2 linked regions of the Elephas maximus indicus genome follow. The protein of the gene in region 1 interacts with the protein of each later gene in a pairwise test. Links are inferred from orthologs where the notes say so. Each region holds a gene or a part of one and is shown on either strand. Other genes may lie near its edges.

Region 1 (8,030 bases):
ATTCCTCCAGCCAGCTGTGTTTCTAGGTTAGGATTTTCTCAACAACTAAACCCAGATTTCACAGTGTAAGGAAATTTAGGACAAGCAAAAAGGAATACTGAGCATCTCCAATGGGAAACTATACATTCTTGAGAACTTGCCCTTTTAGGTTATCTGATTCGAACTTTTCATTAACTTTGAGCTATTGTACAATCTATGAATTGTAGAGAACTGCCTTAGTCATCTTAATCATCTAGTGCTGCTATAACAGAAATACCACAAGTGGATGGCTTTACCAAAGAGAAATTTATTCTCTTAGAGTTTAGGAGGCTAGAAGTCCAAATTCAGGATACCAGCTCCAGAGCAAGGCTTTCTCTCTCTGTCGGCTCTGGAGGAAGGTCCTCGTCATCAATCTTCCCTTGGTCTAGGAGCTTATCCATGCAGAAACTCCAGGTCCAAAAGATGCATTCTGCTCCCAGAGCTGCTTTCTTGGTGGTATGAGGTCTCCCTGTCTCTCTGCTCACTCCTCTCTTTAATATCTCAAAAGAGATTGACTTAAGACACAACCTAATCATGTAGATTGGGTCCTGCCTCATTAACATAACTGCCCGCTAATCCCACCTCATTAACATCATAGTTGTAGGATTTACAACAGGTAGGAAAATCACATCAGACGACAAAACGGTAGACAATCACACAATACTGGGAATCACGGACTAGCCAAGTTGACACTTATTTTGGGGGGACACAATCCAATCCATAATAAAAACTAAGTGCAGCCACCGCCCATCTGTTAGTGGAGGCTTGTGTGTTGCTATGATGCTCAACCAGTTTCAGAGGAGCTTCCAGACTAAAATGGACTAGGAAGAAAGACCTGCTGATCTGCCTCCAAAAATCAGTCAGTGAAAACCGTGTGGGGCACAATGGTCCAATCCTGCTGTGCATGGGGTCACCATGAGTAAGTGGTCTACCTGGGGGCAGCTAACAATAACAATGACAATGCAAATGATTTTTTTCTATGGACATGTAAATGGATTCTGCACAGGGTAAGGACAACCTTCCCCACACCCTCCACTAGCTAGTTTTGCACAATTTGCAAGTTAGTTCCAGTACTCTTGTTCTTTGCATTTTCCTTCGAACTGGCTCTAACATCTTACCAGTTTTCCCATGTAAAGAATGAGTTCAATAAAACATTTGCCACATGTTCATCAGTGAATGACAGTAAAATTCCTACTCATGTGATGAGTAAAGTCTAGTGTTTATGCGTGCCTGCCTGCGTGTGTGTGCTGTTTCGGACAACAGACGGAACAAATAAGTTAGTTATACAGCGTTATAGATTGAATTGTATCCCCCAAGAAGATATGCTGAAGTCCTGATCTCCAGTACCTATGAATGTGACCCTATTTGGAAATAGGGTCTTCGAAGATGTGATCAGTTAGGTTAACATGAAGTCATACTGGAGTAAGGTGGGTCCTAATCCTCTATGAGTGATGCCCTTATAAAAGAATAGTAGAGACAGAAAGAAAGACACAAGAAGGATGGCCATGTGAAGACGGAGGCAGACATTTGGAGTGCTGCATCTATAAGCCAAGGAGTGCCTGGAGCTAACAGAAGTTAGGAAACCCTGGTGGGATAGTGGAAACCCTGTGGTACAGTGGTTAGGAGCTTGGCTGCTAACCTAAAGGTTGGCAGTTTGAATCCACCAGGCACTCCTTGGAAACTCTATGGGGCAGTACTACTCTGTCCTATAGGGTCGCTATGAGTCTGAATCAGCTCAATGGCAATAGGTTTGGGTTTTTTTTTTTGGTGGTATAGTAGCTAAGAGCTACAGTTGCTAACCAAAAGGTCAGCAGTTCAAATCTACCAGGTGCCCTGTGGAACCCCTATGGGGCTATCCTATAGGGTCATTATGACTCAGAATCCATTCGACGGCAATGGGTTTAACAGAAGTTGGGAGAGAGGTACGGAATAGATTCTTGCTCAGAGCCTCTGAGGAAACAACATGGCAGACACGGTGACTTGGACTTCAAGGCTTCAGAACTGAGATAATAAATTTCCATTCCTACAAGCCACCCAGTTTGTGGTACTTGCTAAGGCAGCCCGAGAAAACGAATACATGTAATAATTACACAGTATGTCAGAAGTACCTGTACAAACCCCATGGAGAAGAAAGCAGGCTGAGGGAATATTACGGATTGAATTGTGTCATTCCCCCCTCCCCCCGCCCCGCATTTGTGCTGTGAACCCTAAACCCTGTAGTGGTCCTACTTTGTTCTATAGCGTTGCTATGAGTCAGAATCCACTTGACCACACGGGTTTGGTTTGGTTTTTGTAGTGGTTATAATCCCATTTAGGAATGGACTTTCTTTGTTATGTTAATGAGGAAGTATTAGTGTAGGGCGTGTCTTAAATCAATCTCTTTGGAGATATAAAAGAGATTAAACAAGCAATCAAGAAATGGAGAGTGAAAGAGAATCTCAAAATAGACAAGGGACTTCCCCAAGCACTGACAGAAAGCCTTGCCCTAAAGCCAGCCCTCCCCCGCCCCCAAATTCAGACTACTAACCTCCTAAACTGTGAGAGAATAAATTTCTGTTTGTGAAAGCCATCCATCTGTGATATTTCTGTTATGGCAGCACTAGATGACTAAGACAGGGAGATAGGATTTATACTGGGGACTTAAATTTTAAACCTGAGAAACTGATATTGAAGCAAAGGCTTCAGGGAGGTGAGAGAGAGAACCATGTGGATATGTCTGGGAAGAGTGCTTCAGGCAGAGGGAACATGCAGTGCCAAGGTCCTGAGGCAAAGCAGGTCTGGTGTGATCAAGGAGCAGCAGGGGGACTGATTTGATGCGAGCCGGTGAATGAGGAAGGTAGTGTGGGCACTGAGGTCAGACAGGCATGGTGGCAGGGAAAGATCACATAGGGTTTGGGGGTTCCTGTGAAGACTCTGGAAACCTTGGTGGCATTGTAGTTAAGAGCTACTGCTGCTAACCAAAAGGTCTGCAGTTCAAATCCACCAGGTGCTCCTTGGAAACTCTGTGGGGCAGCTCTACTCTACAGGGTCGCTATGAGTCGGAATCAACTCGACGGCAATGGGTTAATGGTGAAGAGATGGGAGCTCTGCCTGGGGGGGAGGAGGGTTGTTGAGAGGAGTGGGATAGTCTAAGACATTTTTAAAAGGATCATGCCCTACTAATTGCTGGTGCCCCCCAACTGACCCAGGCGAACTGAAGCAGTTTAAGCATCAGCCAAACTGGCCATCTTGATAAGCAGAAACCTAGCCCTTATTTTTAAGAGGCTTTCTCATTCATTTTTCTTCCCTAAGCCTCTCCAAAAGGTCCCCAGGTGGGGCAAATGGTTTTCCCTCAACTGCTAACTTCAAGGTTGGCGGTTCAAACCCACCCAGTGCCACTGTGGAAGAAAGGGCTGGTGATCTGCTTCTGGAAAGATTACAGCCAAGAAAACCCTACGGGGCAGTTCTACTCTGTAACACACAGGGTCACCATGAGCTGGAATCGACTCTATGGCAATGCGTTTGTTTTTTGTGGTTGTTTTTAAGCCTCTCCAGATCCTAAGCATCTGTTAAGGACAAGCCATGCCCTTATTCCTGGAACTCTGCTAGGCCATCAACCTTGTGATGCAGCACATGGGGGTACTGGGCCTTGCTGGGGTCGCGGATGGCGCTTGCACTGGATTTTCAGCTCTGCACAGGGCCCGAGTCTTACCTCTCTTTTATGTCCTTACCAGCCTGAGGCAGGGTTGGGCAGTCAGTAAGGCTGGCACATTCCTGTGGTTTCCCTCAAAGTGCTCACCAGTGTTCCTGCCGGCTCTCACCTAGCATGCCACCTCCCCCACCATCTCTGGGGCCACATCTGCAGGAGATGATGGGGAGAAAAGAAAAGACGCAGCAGCCAGAGAAGGCTCCTGCTGGACATACCAGAGAGCTCTGAGGCCAGACGGTGGGGTGGACTGGGCCTGGGCCTCAGCTGGCCCCTGGGCTTTCCAGCAATAGTTTGTACTGGGTTCTGGGTGACTGAAGACACCCAGGTCCTGCGGTTCTGAAGCCCCCACTGCCTTAAAGGCTTGATGGGAACCAAATAAAAGCTACTGACGAGGGTGAGGCAGGTGATGGCAAGGCTGGGCTCACAGCACAAGGCCCCTTGCTTATGTAATGCTCTGCTGTTGCCATCTTGGAATTCATACTAATTTTCTGAACAAGGGACCTTGAATTTCCATTTTACGCTGCACCTTGACAGTTATGCCGCCAGTCTTGACTACTGAGTTTTCGGGGGGCCTCTCTGCGTATTCCACCTGCCTCACTCACCCTGGCCCCTGCTCTGCTACACTTTGTCCCTGAAAAATGCATTCTGCATGTGGTTTCATGGTGTCTGTGGACCCATGCAGCCATATTAAGAATCTTATCCCTGCTGTTCATGCCTGGTCCACCTCAGTCATCCTCCAGCAAGTTCCCCATTCTGGGCCCTGGAGGAGGTGGGTGCAAGCTGAGCTGCCCTTCTTTACCGCTGTGTGTGGACTTAATATCGAGGTTCGTCCTGGGTGGGCCGTTCTAGAAAACGTTCACAGTCAGACAAACAATGTGCATTCGCACTGCGGAAGGAGCTGCCCTTTCCTTAGGTTCCTGGAGTGCTGCGGCCCGTGGGAATGGTCGGTACCTTGTAAACAGGCTATGCTGGGAGGCTGGCCCCTGACAGTACAGGCGTCCTCTGCCAGCGGAGCTCCGATGTTACCTTGACACAAGGGCCTGCTGGGGTCTCCTGGGCGGAAAGGTACGCTGACACCATGTGGACTGGAGACCCGGCGGACCCGGGGGCGTGCCTGCAGTTTTCACCCAGCCCACGCCGCCAGTCTCGTGGCCGGAAGGAAGCCCTCTGCCGAGGGTCGATGGGGGCCACCCATGCCGCAGGTCCCATCGACAGCGACCCCAGACGCCGAGCACAGCCTGCTGCCACGGGTTTGGGGCGAAGCGGGGCGCGCGCAAGTGCGCTCCGCAGTTTCATCCTAGCTCGGTAGAGGGGCGCCCCGCAGACAAAGGGGGAGCCGCGCACCCTGGGCGGGCCCGGTGCCTGCAGGCCGAGGGGGTCGGCGGCTGCATCCTCGGATAGTACAGCCCGGGCCTCCCTGCCTGACCGCGGAACATGGTCTCGCCCAGCCCGGAGCTGCGATCCCAGAGCCTCTTCCAGTGGCAGGGACGGCGCGGCGGGGGCGTGGCGCGCGCCCGAGGCCACGCCTATCGCTGCATAGTCATAAGGCCAGGAATCCCTGCCTGCGGGGCGGGCCGCTCCTCGCGCCCGGGCGCGGCCAGCTGGGGGCGTAGCCGGGCTGGGCGCGAGGCGGGGCGGAGCCGGCAGCTGGCCCACCCCCGCGCCGGGCCCCGCCCCCAGCCCCCGCCTCGCAGGCCGCGGGGCGGGGCCCGTGGCCGGCAGGCTCCGCCCCCGCGCTGAATATTGATGTGGCGCGCGTCGGCGTCGCCCTCCTCCCATTGAGCGAGGCTGTGTCGCGTGGCCCAGCGTCGGCGTGACGGTTGGACGCGGGCGCGGCACTGCGGGTCCCGATTGCTGCAGCCGCTTGTCAGTGTGATGAAGATTGGCACCCAGGTAAGCTGTCACTCAACCGCTCCGCCGCCGCCGCCGCAGCTCTCCGCCGCCGCCATCCCTATCAATCACGCGGGCCGAGCCGCCGCAGCCGCCACCCCAGCGCCGCCGCCCGGGTAGCGGCGGGCCGGCGGTGCCGAGGGGAGCCCACCCTTGACCCGCCACCCCGGGCAGGGGGCGGGAGGGGGGCGCGCGGGCAGCGGGTGGGGGAGGGGAGCTGGCGGCTGCCGGGGCGGGGGCGCTGTCCGTCCGGAGCTGACGCGGGGTCGCGCCGAGTTTGTTTTTGAGTGTCGGTTTAGGCAGAAGGAAATTTCTGGAAGGCGCCGCCGCCGCCTCGCTGGGCCCGCTGCGAGGCGCGCGCTCTTAACCGTCCTTTTCGGAGCGCGGCGCGCGCCCCTGCGCGGGGCGGGGGCGGCAGTGGGGGGAGGGGAGCGGGCCGCGGGCGCGCGCGGGCCGGGAGGGGCGGGGCTGGGAACCGGAGGCGCGCGCTGGGCGGGGCGGGGCTTGAGGCCGCGGGGGCGCGCGCACCGGAAGAGTGGGGGGGCTAGGGCCGCGGGGGCGCGCGCCGGCCGCGGGGGCGCGCGCCGGCCGCGGGCGGAAACGGGCTGCGAGGTCCCCGGTTTCTGTCGCGGTCGCGGGGGGACAGGTGCACCAGGCGGCGGGTCTCCGGGGCTGCCGGCGGCGGGGCTCGCGCGGTCCGGGAGGCGGGAAAATGGCGGCTGCGCGCAGGCCCGGCTTGAGGCGGGGTCGGGCCGCGCTGAGGGGGCGTCCCCAGCCGCGCGGCGCTCGGAGGCGCCCTGGCCTCGTGGAGCTGCTCCGGGCTCGCGGGGCGCAGGCCGAGCCCTGCCGACCCGGGGTCCCACACGCCGGCCCCGCCGCGGGACCCGTGCTTCCGCGCCCCGCGACCGCGCAGCTGGTGAAGGGGCGACCCCAGGGTGACCGGGGGACCCGAGCGCCCACTTCCGAGGGGCCGGCGCGGCGTTCAGACGGCCTGCGCCTGGGCTGTTTGCGGAGGGCTGGGGTTCCCGTTTGTAGGGAATTAGTTAAAAGTGTATTGTTTATACTAAATGGCAATTTTGAAATAGATGGCTGGAAGTCTTTGGCGTGGTCTGGCCGCTCGCAGGATTTTCACATTCCTTTAGAGAAAATGAGTCACTTAAGAAAAATCAAGTCTGCTTTCTTTCCTCCTAGTGGCTCTGGAAATGCCCTATTTTGACAGTGGCTCTGAGACTTGACCCGTTAGGCCCTTCATTTGTCATGGTTGACTCATAAAATACGACTTAGAATTTATTGATAGAAGCGATGAGGGCAGAAGTTACAGATACTTGGGGGCTGTGTGTGCGCGCACCAGCTTGTACATAAACAAGTGGACATTCGATACATTTGATGGTGGACTTGCAACAATCCAGGCTATATTGGACATGTTAGGGCGTGAAGAGGAACTCTGGTTGTGCAGTGGTTAAGCGCTAGGCTGCTAACTGAAAGATTGGAGGTTCAAACCTACCGGAACCCACCATCCGCTCTGCGGGAGAAAGATGTGGCAGTCTGCTTCTGCAAAGATTACAGCCTGGGAGACCCTATGGGGCGGCTCTTCTCTGTCCCATAGGGTCCCTGTGAGTCAAAATCAATTGGATGGCAACTTTTTTTTTTTTTTTTCTTAAGGGCGTGATAATTTAGTTTTTTAGATAGTAAGAATTGGCTTTATGTAAAATTGACTTTCCTTAGGAAGTAGATACATTCCACTTTAGTGTGGGAAAAACAACAACGCATCTTAAGCATCATTTCATAGTTTTCCCTGGTATGTTGGAAAAGTGGACTTCACTAAGTATTACAGGGAAGCATTGAGGTGAAATGTAAAACTCTTTGGCAGAATAGTTATTGGTGATATTCTCGAGTTGTAGGTACATTGGTTTGGAAGACAGCTGACAGACTACTCAACCTTGCCTTTCATTGTTTTCCTTTCCCCTAATTTACTCCTCTGGCTGCCAGCTTGTAGCAGCACATCTAATTAGCATGGAGAATGGTACCTGGATCATCTAGTTACAATGTTTCATTGAATCTAAAATGTACCTTTTGATATGCCACTCAAAGTGCTCACACTTTTAACCCACACAGTGCTGTTTTAGCATAGCAATGGACTGAGGCTTCCCGGGTCACATTGTGCTCGGGTTGATGGGAGGGGAAATGCTACGGGCTTGAAACAGTAACGTTTTATGCCGATGACTTAAGTGTGGAAGAAGCTACACTGTTGACGACACAGGGTGCAAAAGTATCTAGTCGGGAATTGTGTCGTCTGGTTCAGTGTACACATTTCTGTGGCCCTGGATTATACTTCTTAAGGGAAGTACTGCACATGAATACCGTGGTAGCTGTTTACAGCATTCACATGTGTTACAACTGTAAACGGTGTGCAGCTGTTGAGGAGAAAAGGCAG
Region 2 (7,677 bases), on another chromosome or scaffold:
TGGGAAGCCCTGTGTGGGAACAATGCTGCCAGGGAGAAGGCCCTCCTGTTCTGGTGAGAGCTGGAGATGGGGGCTTCTGCTATCCACTTACCCTCATTTCCCGGGGGCTGTACATCTGGCCTCCCCCAAGGTTATCCCCATAGCCTCCGGGCCCCATCGAGTGTCGGAGTGATTCCACCTGCAGGCAGCACAGGAAGGCACGATAGGAGAAGCTGCGGAAGAAAAAGTTCTTGTATCCTAAAGGGATGGAAACAAGGTTTGAGAAGGCCCAACTCAAAAGGAGATGGAGCATCTGACCTGGGAAGCAGAATAGGAATCTCCGTTGAGCCCAGGCATCCCCAGAAACATGTCTCCGGATCCTGAGAGATTGAAAGAGCCGCCAGAGCCTTGGGGGAACAGATAGGGAATTAGGGGAAGTACAACAGAGCCCGAAAGGGCAGACAGGTGACTCACCACAAATCTGTTTCTAAAAACCCTTTTGTACTAGCTTTGTTGGGCTGTGCTACTATACCCAAACTATCCACAAAACAACATTCCAACACTTGGAAAAAAGAGGCTGTTCCTGAGCCTCCTCTGGCCACCCACTGGAAGAAAGGCAGAAGTAACTACACTGAAGTGGCCTCTGTCCCCTGACATCCCCACCTTGTCCCCTCTCACCCCCAAGCACCCCCTCTGCTATGATCCTGCCTAGATTAGGAAGTGGGAACAAAAGCAGGAAGTGTGCAAAACAGCTCGGCAGGGTGGCAGTGGGATCCACCTGCAGAGGAAGGGGGTGTCGGGGAGCTGGTGCGGCTGTGGCCCCCCTGAGTGACTGACACTGCAGTCTTAACAGCATAGATGTTTGCCTCCTCTTGGAATTTTCCAATGTTTTTCTTATAGCGAATCCGTTTGTTGCCAAACCAGTTGGAGACCTGTGGGGTATTGGGCAGAAAGGAGGGTCAGGAGGACACCCTTCCTTCTGAAACTCCTTATTCAGTGGGAGCTGAGAGTTTTTTACCCAAAGACTCTTTCTCCCCAAGCCACCCACCCCCAATACCTGAGAGACAGTAATGCCACACTTCTTGGCGAGCTCCTCCTTAGCCTCCTCGCTAGGATAGGGGTTACTCAGGTGGGAGTAGAAGTACTCATTTAGGACCTCGGTGGCCTGTTTGCTGAAGTTCCGACGTTTTCGCCTACAGGGGAGGGAGAAGGGTGATGAGGATGCTGGTGTCTTAGAAGGGGCACCATGTTCCGTAACTGCAGAGGACACCACTGTCACAAGGTACCATGTTATACAACATGGCGGCTTGGGGACTGGAGAGGAATGGGAAGGAACCCCTGGGTCCCACCTGGCATCCAGGAAGCGGGAACGCAGGATCATGACGGCCTCACAGGTGCTCTGCTTGAGCTGCATCTGGATGGCGCTGAACTTTCGATGGATGATGCTCACCATGCGCTCCATTTCCTTGGGTGCCACAGGCCGCGTACGGCTCTGCTCCCTCAGCAGATTCATGACGTGGGTCGTGAACTCATTACATGCCTGCATGGGGGCCCATGCAGGCATGCAATGAGGAGGTGAGGAGGAGTCCTTTGGCTTTGGGACTTCCTCCAAGAGCCTCTCCCTCCATTCATCCCAGCCTTCTCTCCTCACCTGCTCATACTTCTCCAGCTCTGAGTGGTAGATGTGGCGAATCTGGGCAAGTTTGCTGCGATAGTCCGAGTGCTCAATGGAGTTGTCAGGGGATACGCCACCCCCAGAGGCTGCAGCTGCTGCAGCTGCTGCTGCTGAGCCCCCTCCTTTCTCAGGTCCAGCCACACCCTCTGCCAGAAGCATGTTGTCCAAGCGCATCAGCTGCGGGTCCACCGGCTCCTCCTCTTGGGAGCTTCGGATGCTGAGGCCTAGCGTGCAGGCAAAAGGATTTAGGGACCTAGGTCCCCCACACCCAGCTCTCAGCCCTCCTTGTGCCTCTTAGAGCCCCAAGTCTCCCAATTTTGGTTTGCTCCCCAGTGCCCTTTGCAACCTCCCTGACTCCTCACTTTCCTCGTGGCCCCAAGTTGTCAAACTCTTAGCCCAAGACTTGTTGTGAACAGGGTTCCGTCCCCAGAGCTGAGGAATCAGAGAGAGACCACATACCGGTTTTCTCCTTGATTTCACACAGGACGCTAAAGAGAGCAGGCTTCATTCGGTGGCAATTTAGGGCGTGTTTCCTTCAGAGGAATGGGAGTGGGGAAAGAGAGAAAAGTTGAGCAGCTATAGAAGTGGAGCAGACGATGAAAGAAGAGAGCCTGAAAACCAGGGGAGAGGCAGGAAAATCTGTGGAAGGAGAAGGGAAATAGAAAGTGGGGTTGGGGGTTGAAGGGATTTGGGGGGACTTGGGAAGGGGCAGCTCCCATATTACGGGAGATGTGAGAAAGCAGCTTGGCTTCAGGAAGATTGAGGGAAGATGCTAAAGAAACCATGGGTGGGCTGGGGGCTTTGGGGAGTGGTCTAGGAAGCGTGCAGAGAAAGAGTTTGGAGGGGGTCACTGGAGAAATGAGGGTGACTAGGTAGATTTCAGAGGAAAACAGGAGGCTGGGGTGTAAAAGAGTATCAGAGGGAGCCAGAGAAGAATTGGGGGTGCTGAGCTCAAGTAGGGAGTCTGGAACTGAGCAGGGTGGAAGATATGACTCGCTGACTGTCTGGCTGAGCTGAGGGGGAAGGGTGGGTGAGGAGTGTTAGGAGCTCTGGGGAGGGGGTGCAGGGGCCCCCAGGTCTGGAAAATTAGGGGAGAGGATGGCATAGCCTGAGAGCAGTTTCTTAGTCTGGGAGCCAGAAGGGGGCTCCAGAGACAGAAGGACGTTCCAAGGAAGTGTAGGGGTCAGCGAGAGGTTAGGGGGGGGTGAGACTACCTGGGGTTCCCTCTGTGAAGGTTTCAGGGCCTGGGGGTGAAGGGAGGTTTAAGAGGGATCACTTATCTCAGGGGTCCCAGGAGTAAGGAGAGGATAATCGAGAGCTGAAGGATTCCGGAAAGGCTTCTGGAGTTAGAGGGCTCCCAGAAGATTCAGAGACTGTGAATAGGGTCCTGCCAGGTCTGTGTAGGGTCCCGGGGTGGGGGCACTCACTTGGCCTGGGCCTCGTCCAGGCTCTGGTCGGTGATGGTCATTATCTGCTGCAGAATGTCCCCGATGTCTTGCTTCCCTCGGCCTCCCGGGACCCCCCCGCTGCCCCCACCGGGGTCTCCGCCACCGGGAGGCTCGCCAGGGCCCCCAGGCTCCCCACTCACCAATCCCAGACCCCCCCGGCCCCCGCCTGGAGGGGGCGGCCCCAGCAGCCGCTCATCCATAGCTGGGGGGGGCCCTGGGGCCCCCTCCCTGCTCCGCCCCTCCCCCCGCCTGGTTACTTCTCCCCCCAACCTCGCCGGGGCCGCTGCTCCCTCCGCCCCCACCCCCGCCCCTCTCCTCCCTCTCGGCTCCCCCGGGGGTTCACCCCGGCGCTGAAGGGAGACCTGGGGTACCGGCTGGGCCCCCCACAGGAGACCCCGGGCCCCCGGCGGCGGAGAAAATGGAGCCGGAGAGAGAGAGAGAGAGAGAGAGAGAGGAGGCCCAAGCGGGGGTGTGTGAGAGAGAGGGAGGAGGGAGGAGGGAGAAGGGGGGGAGCGAGGGAGGGAGGCGGGGGGAGGGGAGCCGCGGAGGAAGAGGAGGGGAGAAGGGAGGAGGAACAGGGAGGAGCTGGGGGCGGAGAGAGAGAGAAACAGAGGAACTGAGACCGAGTGGAGGAGGGGACAGGGATGAGGAGACGAGGGGAGGAGACTGGGTCATTGGAGGCAATACGGGAAGGCCCCCGGGCTGGACTTCCGTGGTCCGGGAGGGGGCGTGTTGGGGTTGGAGGGGGGCAGCCACCTGGATTCCGCGTCAGGGATCGCGGTGATGTGGACTCTCCGGCCGCTGGAATGCCTGGGTTCACAGACAGCTCAGTTCATATTTCTTGTCCTAATGACTCCCCTTCTAGTTCTATTTAATTAAAACTGGGAGAGGGGGACTGGGGGGGGGATAATTAGGGAGGTCTCCAGCTGCTGCTTAATGAGCCAGTAATTAACCAGCCAGAGAGGGGAGCTGGCCTCTGGCCAGCCTAAGGAGAAAGGCGGCCTCCGGCCTTACCTTCCCACCCTCCAACCCCAGCCCTCCAGACACTAGCCTTCAGTCCAGAGGGGAATTAAATTTATTCACACAACCAAAACATCAGACTGACTCCGAGCAGCGAGCAGAGGCGGCGGCGGGGACGGCGGGTGGGCAGGGCTAGTGGTCTGTTTCCAGCCTCTAGGCCCCTCAGCCCTGGGGCGGGGGAATGCCTTGGTGGGCGTCGGCAGACAGTCTTAATCTCTCTTCTTGCCCACCCACCCTTCCTTTCTTCTAACTGGGAAGGAGGGTGGGCTGTCTCTCCAGTCACAACCTTGGGACGTTTGCCTTTTCTTGCAAGGTGGAGGCCTGAGTTCTCAGACCCTGCCTGGTGGGTTGACTCCTAGGGATGTCTCGACAGCTCCTGCTGGAGATTCCCAACCACCCCCTGAGATCTAGGAGTGGGGTGTCCCCTGGTAGCTGGGATCCCCTCACCGCCTCAAGCTCCCAAGTACTTGGGGAGGGAGTTCAATGATCATCCTACCTTGCCTTTTTACTATTAACAGGGTTTGAGAATTTTCACCCCCTCTATTTCCCACGGGTGCTGGTCTAAAAAACCCAGTGCCATCGAGTCGATTCCGACTCATAGTGACCCTATAGGACAGAGTAGAACTGCCCCATAGTGTTTCCAAGGAGCGCCTGGCGGATTTGAGCTGCCGACCCTTTGGTTAGCAGCCGTAGCACTTAACCACTACGCCACCAGGGTGCTAGTCTAGAAAAAAAAAAAGGATGAATATTGAGATTTCTTTTGGGTCTTCCAGTCTCTGCTGCCCCTGCCAAGCAGGGTTGAGGGCAGGCAGTGGGCCGCCCAGCTTTGAGCCCCAGGAGCGCAGAGGGGCCAGTTCAGGTCTCAGCAAGTATGTGTGGGAGGTCTGGACCTTTGCTCTTCCATTCGTCCCCCACCCTGAACCCTCAGCAGCAACTCCAGGAGCTCCTGTCCTCCTGGGGGTAGGGGAGGCTCTGACCGCTGGGCTTCCATCCGCTGGCACTGGAGGAGTGGAGGGAGAAGGGTGTTGGTGAGGCTCTGAGGGGAGCCAGGGTTAGTGTGGGGATACAGGATACCTATGATGAGGATGGGGAGACTAAAGAGCAGGCAATGGGGCAGTTGTCTGGGTAGAAGGAGAGGTAGGGCCTGAAACAGAACAGGGACTAGGGGGCCAAGAGGTCTGGGTCTTGCCTTCTGGAGGTGTCTCACCTGGTGACTGAGGATGGTGCTGTAGAGCTGTTCTCTGTCCTCAAGAGGCCGGGGTGGGGCTGGGGCTCGGTTTGGGGGGATCTGGGGGACACAGAAGGTGGCCCTCTGCTCCTCCAGACGGCGGGACTGGGCCTCAGCCACTAGGTCCAGAAGGCGCTCTGTCTGCAGGGAGAGCAGGGAGGCCGAGCGGGGCCCTAGGGCTGGGGAGAGGAGGGGGAGGGCTCAGAGAACCAGAGAACTTGAGAGATGGGTGGGGGGGGGAATAGGGTGAGGTGATTAGGGACTTGGGGTTAGAGCTGAGGGGGTGTGATGGACAGTCTGGAGGAGGTGGAGGGGAGGGCCCACAATGGTCTTGGTAATGGGATCACGAAAGATGGAACCAGGGTTGGGAGCTCCCTGGGCGGTAGAGGTACCTGTGTGGCGGTTCCCTGGAGGAGGGGACGGAGGAGCAGATCGCCAAGGCCGAGTGGTGGTGTTTAGAGGGGGCCAGCCCTGTTCATCCTGGGAAGGGCCCTGATGCTGGGAGATGTCCGTTCCAGTCAAGCAGGGGTGGGTAGAGAAGGTGGAGTGGGCAGGGGGCTAGGCCAGCGGCCTGCTTCCTCTCTGTGTCTCCCTTCCTGCCTCAGTGTGCCCAAGCCCTTTTAAGTCTCCTGAGTTCTCCGTTGCTGGGTCTCTGCCTGGGTCCTCTCCCCTCCCTCTCGTCAAGTGTCAGTCTTCCCCCTTAGTGCCCGGCTCACCTGCTCACCATCCTCTTCTCCGTCCTGGGCTCTTTCGGTCTCCATCCCCTGGAGGGGAGAAACTGGTGGGGGAGGGGTGGCTGGGATTTGGGAAGAGTGCCAGAACCCTGGGTTCCAGAGGGGAGTGGGGGCTGGAAGGGGTGGGGGCCAGCTGGGGGCTAGATGCCTGGGTTCTGAGCAGGAAGCTGGGTTCCTGGTCAGCCCCCCCACGGGCCCCGCCCATCCCTGTCAACTTCCTCCAGTTCTCTTTTCCCACCCAAAGAGTTGCTCGACCTCTCTAGCCCCAGGGGAACACAGAGATCAGGAAAAGCTCCTCCAGCCGCAGGAGTTAGAGGGGGGCTCTCGGTGGGGAAGGACTCCTGCCTTTCTTATCCCCACAGCCTCAGCACCCCCATAGCCCCTGGCTTTGTTCCCTCCACCCCTGCCTCCCCTTCAGCTCTTTCTGTCAACACTGTCAACACAGGAACTAGCTACACAGGAAGTGGTTTCACTCCTCAGAACCCCCCAGCCCCTCCCCCGCCCAGGTCCGTTTCTTCTCCAAGATAGACCCTGACATAGGATTTGGCCCTCCCCACACATCCGCAGACCTATTGGGACTAGAAGGTGCGGTGTCCCAGTGAGAAGCAGAGTACACAGACCCAGGAATGTTCTGCCCTCAAGCTTATACACCTATACCCCCAGCACCGGCTCCAACACATGCTAAATATACAGTAAATATTGTGTATTTACTGAGTATCTAATAAATGTGTTGAACAATTATCCCTGACCTTAAGTTGTTTACAGGGGACAAGACGTGCACCAAATGAGAAAATGGAATGAAGTTCACTCAGGCAAATCATAGTTTAGTGCAGACAAGGGGCAGGGGAACTTTCCTCCGGTCATAAACGAGGGATATAGAAATGGAAAAGGGAGCAGACCACCTCCCTGCTCTCTCCTTGATTAATGCTGGTCAAGGTGGCTGTCACCAAGGCAGCAGCAGGACAGGTAGAGACATTTGAGGCCTCTAAATGGAGCCCTGGTGGCACAGTGGTTAAGAGCTTGGCTGCTAACCAAAAGGTTGGCAGTTCGAATCCTCCTTGGGAACCCTATGGAGTGGTTCTACTCTGTACTATAGGGTCGCTATGAGTCGGAATTGACTAGATGGCAATTTTTTTTTTTTTAAATGGCAACCTGCCACATTGGGGGCTTACACTGACTGACTTAGAGCATGAAGATCTGGTTCTACCACTTAATGCTGTGCAATCTTGGGCAAATACACCTCTCTGTGCCTGTTCCTAAAAGAAGAAAATGGGGGTTTTAATAGCCCATAGCTCATAGAGTTGATGTGAGGATTAAATATGATAAAGCACTTGGCACAAAATGAATGCTTGGTAAATGATAGCTATTTTTAACTTTCAAACACTTTACACCTCTGTGTCTTAGGCCCATCACTATTAGAGGTGTAACCACGTTGCTGAAAGGTGGATAAAGTTTCCCTTAAGATGCCCTCTCCATCTCCCTTTATTTAACTTGCGGCCTTAGGCATCTCCTATGTGGTCATCACTAAATGCCTTTGGGTGAAGGACAAAGAGTGGGCGGGTCCTAGTGTGTATGTGGGTTCTCCCTGGGCTA

The links. The genes of interacting proteins can lie anywhere in the genome.
Region 2: the proteins of PKNOX1 (region 1) and PBX2 interact in binary tests that used the Homo sapiens proteins (3 or more experiments, as listed by UniProt). The link is inferred for Elephas maximus indicus from reciprocal best matches to the Homo sapiens genes PKNOX1 and PBX2.

Annotation. Positions count from the first base shown.
Region 1 is NC_064820.1:226,908,622-226,916,651, forward strand, and holds the start of PKNOX1 (homeobox protein PKNOX1), read left to right. Parts: upstream 1-4,713; 5' UTR 4,714-4,771; exon of another isoform or gene 4,772-5,226; intron 5,227-5,458; exon of another isoform or gene 5,459-5,599; intron 5,600-8,030. UniProt on the Homo sapiens protein: Activates transcription in the presence of PBX1A and HOXA1.
Region 2 is NC_064819.1:93,677,652-93,685,328, forward strand, and holds the start of PBX2 (pre-B-cell leukemia transcription factor 2), read right to left. Parts: upstream 3,316-7,677; 5' UTR 3,303-3,315; coding exon 3,082-3,302; intron 2,188-3,081; coding exon 2,114-2,187; intron 1,879-2,113; coding exon 1,631-1,878; intron 1,520-1,630; coding exon 1,329-1,519; intron 1,173-1,328; coding exon 1,037-1,172; intron 912-1,036; coding exon 758-911; intron 387-757; coding exon 298-386; intron 179-297; coding exon 92-178; intron 1-91. Other genes in the region: GPSM3 (G-protein-signaling modulator 3), read right to left, coding at 4,985-5,122, 5,330-5,529, 5,743-5,848, 6,067-6,111. UniProt on the Homo sapiens protein: Transcriptional activator that binds the sequence 5'-ATCAATCAA-3'. Activates transcription of PF4 in complex with MEIS1.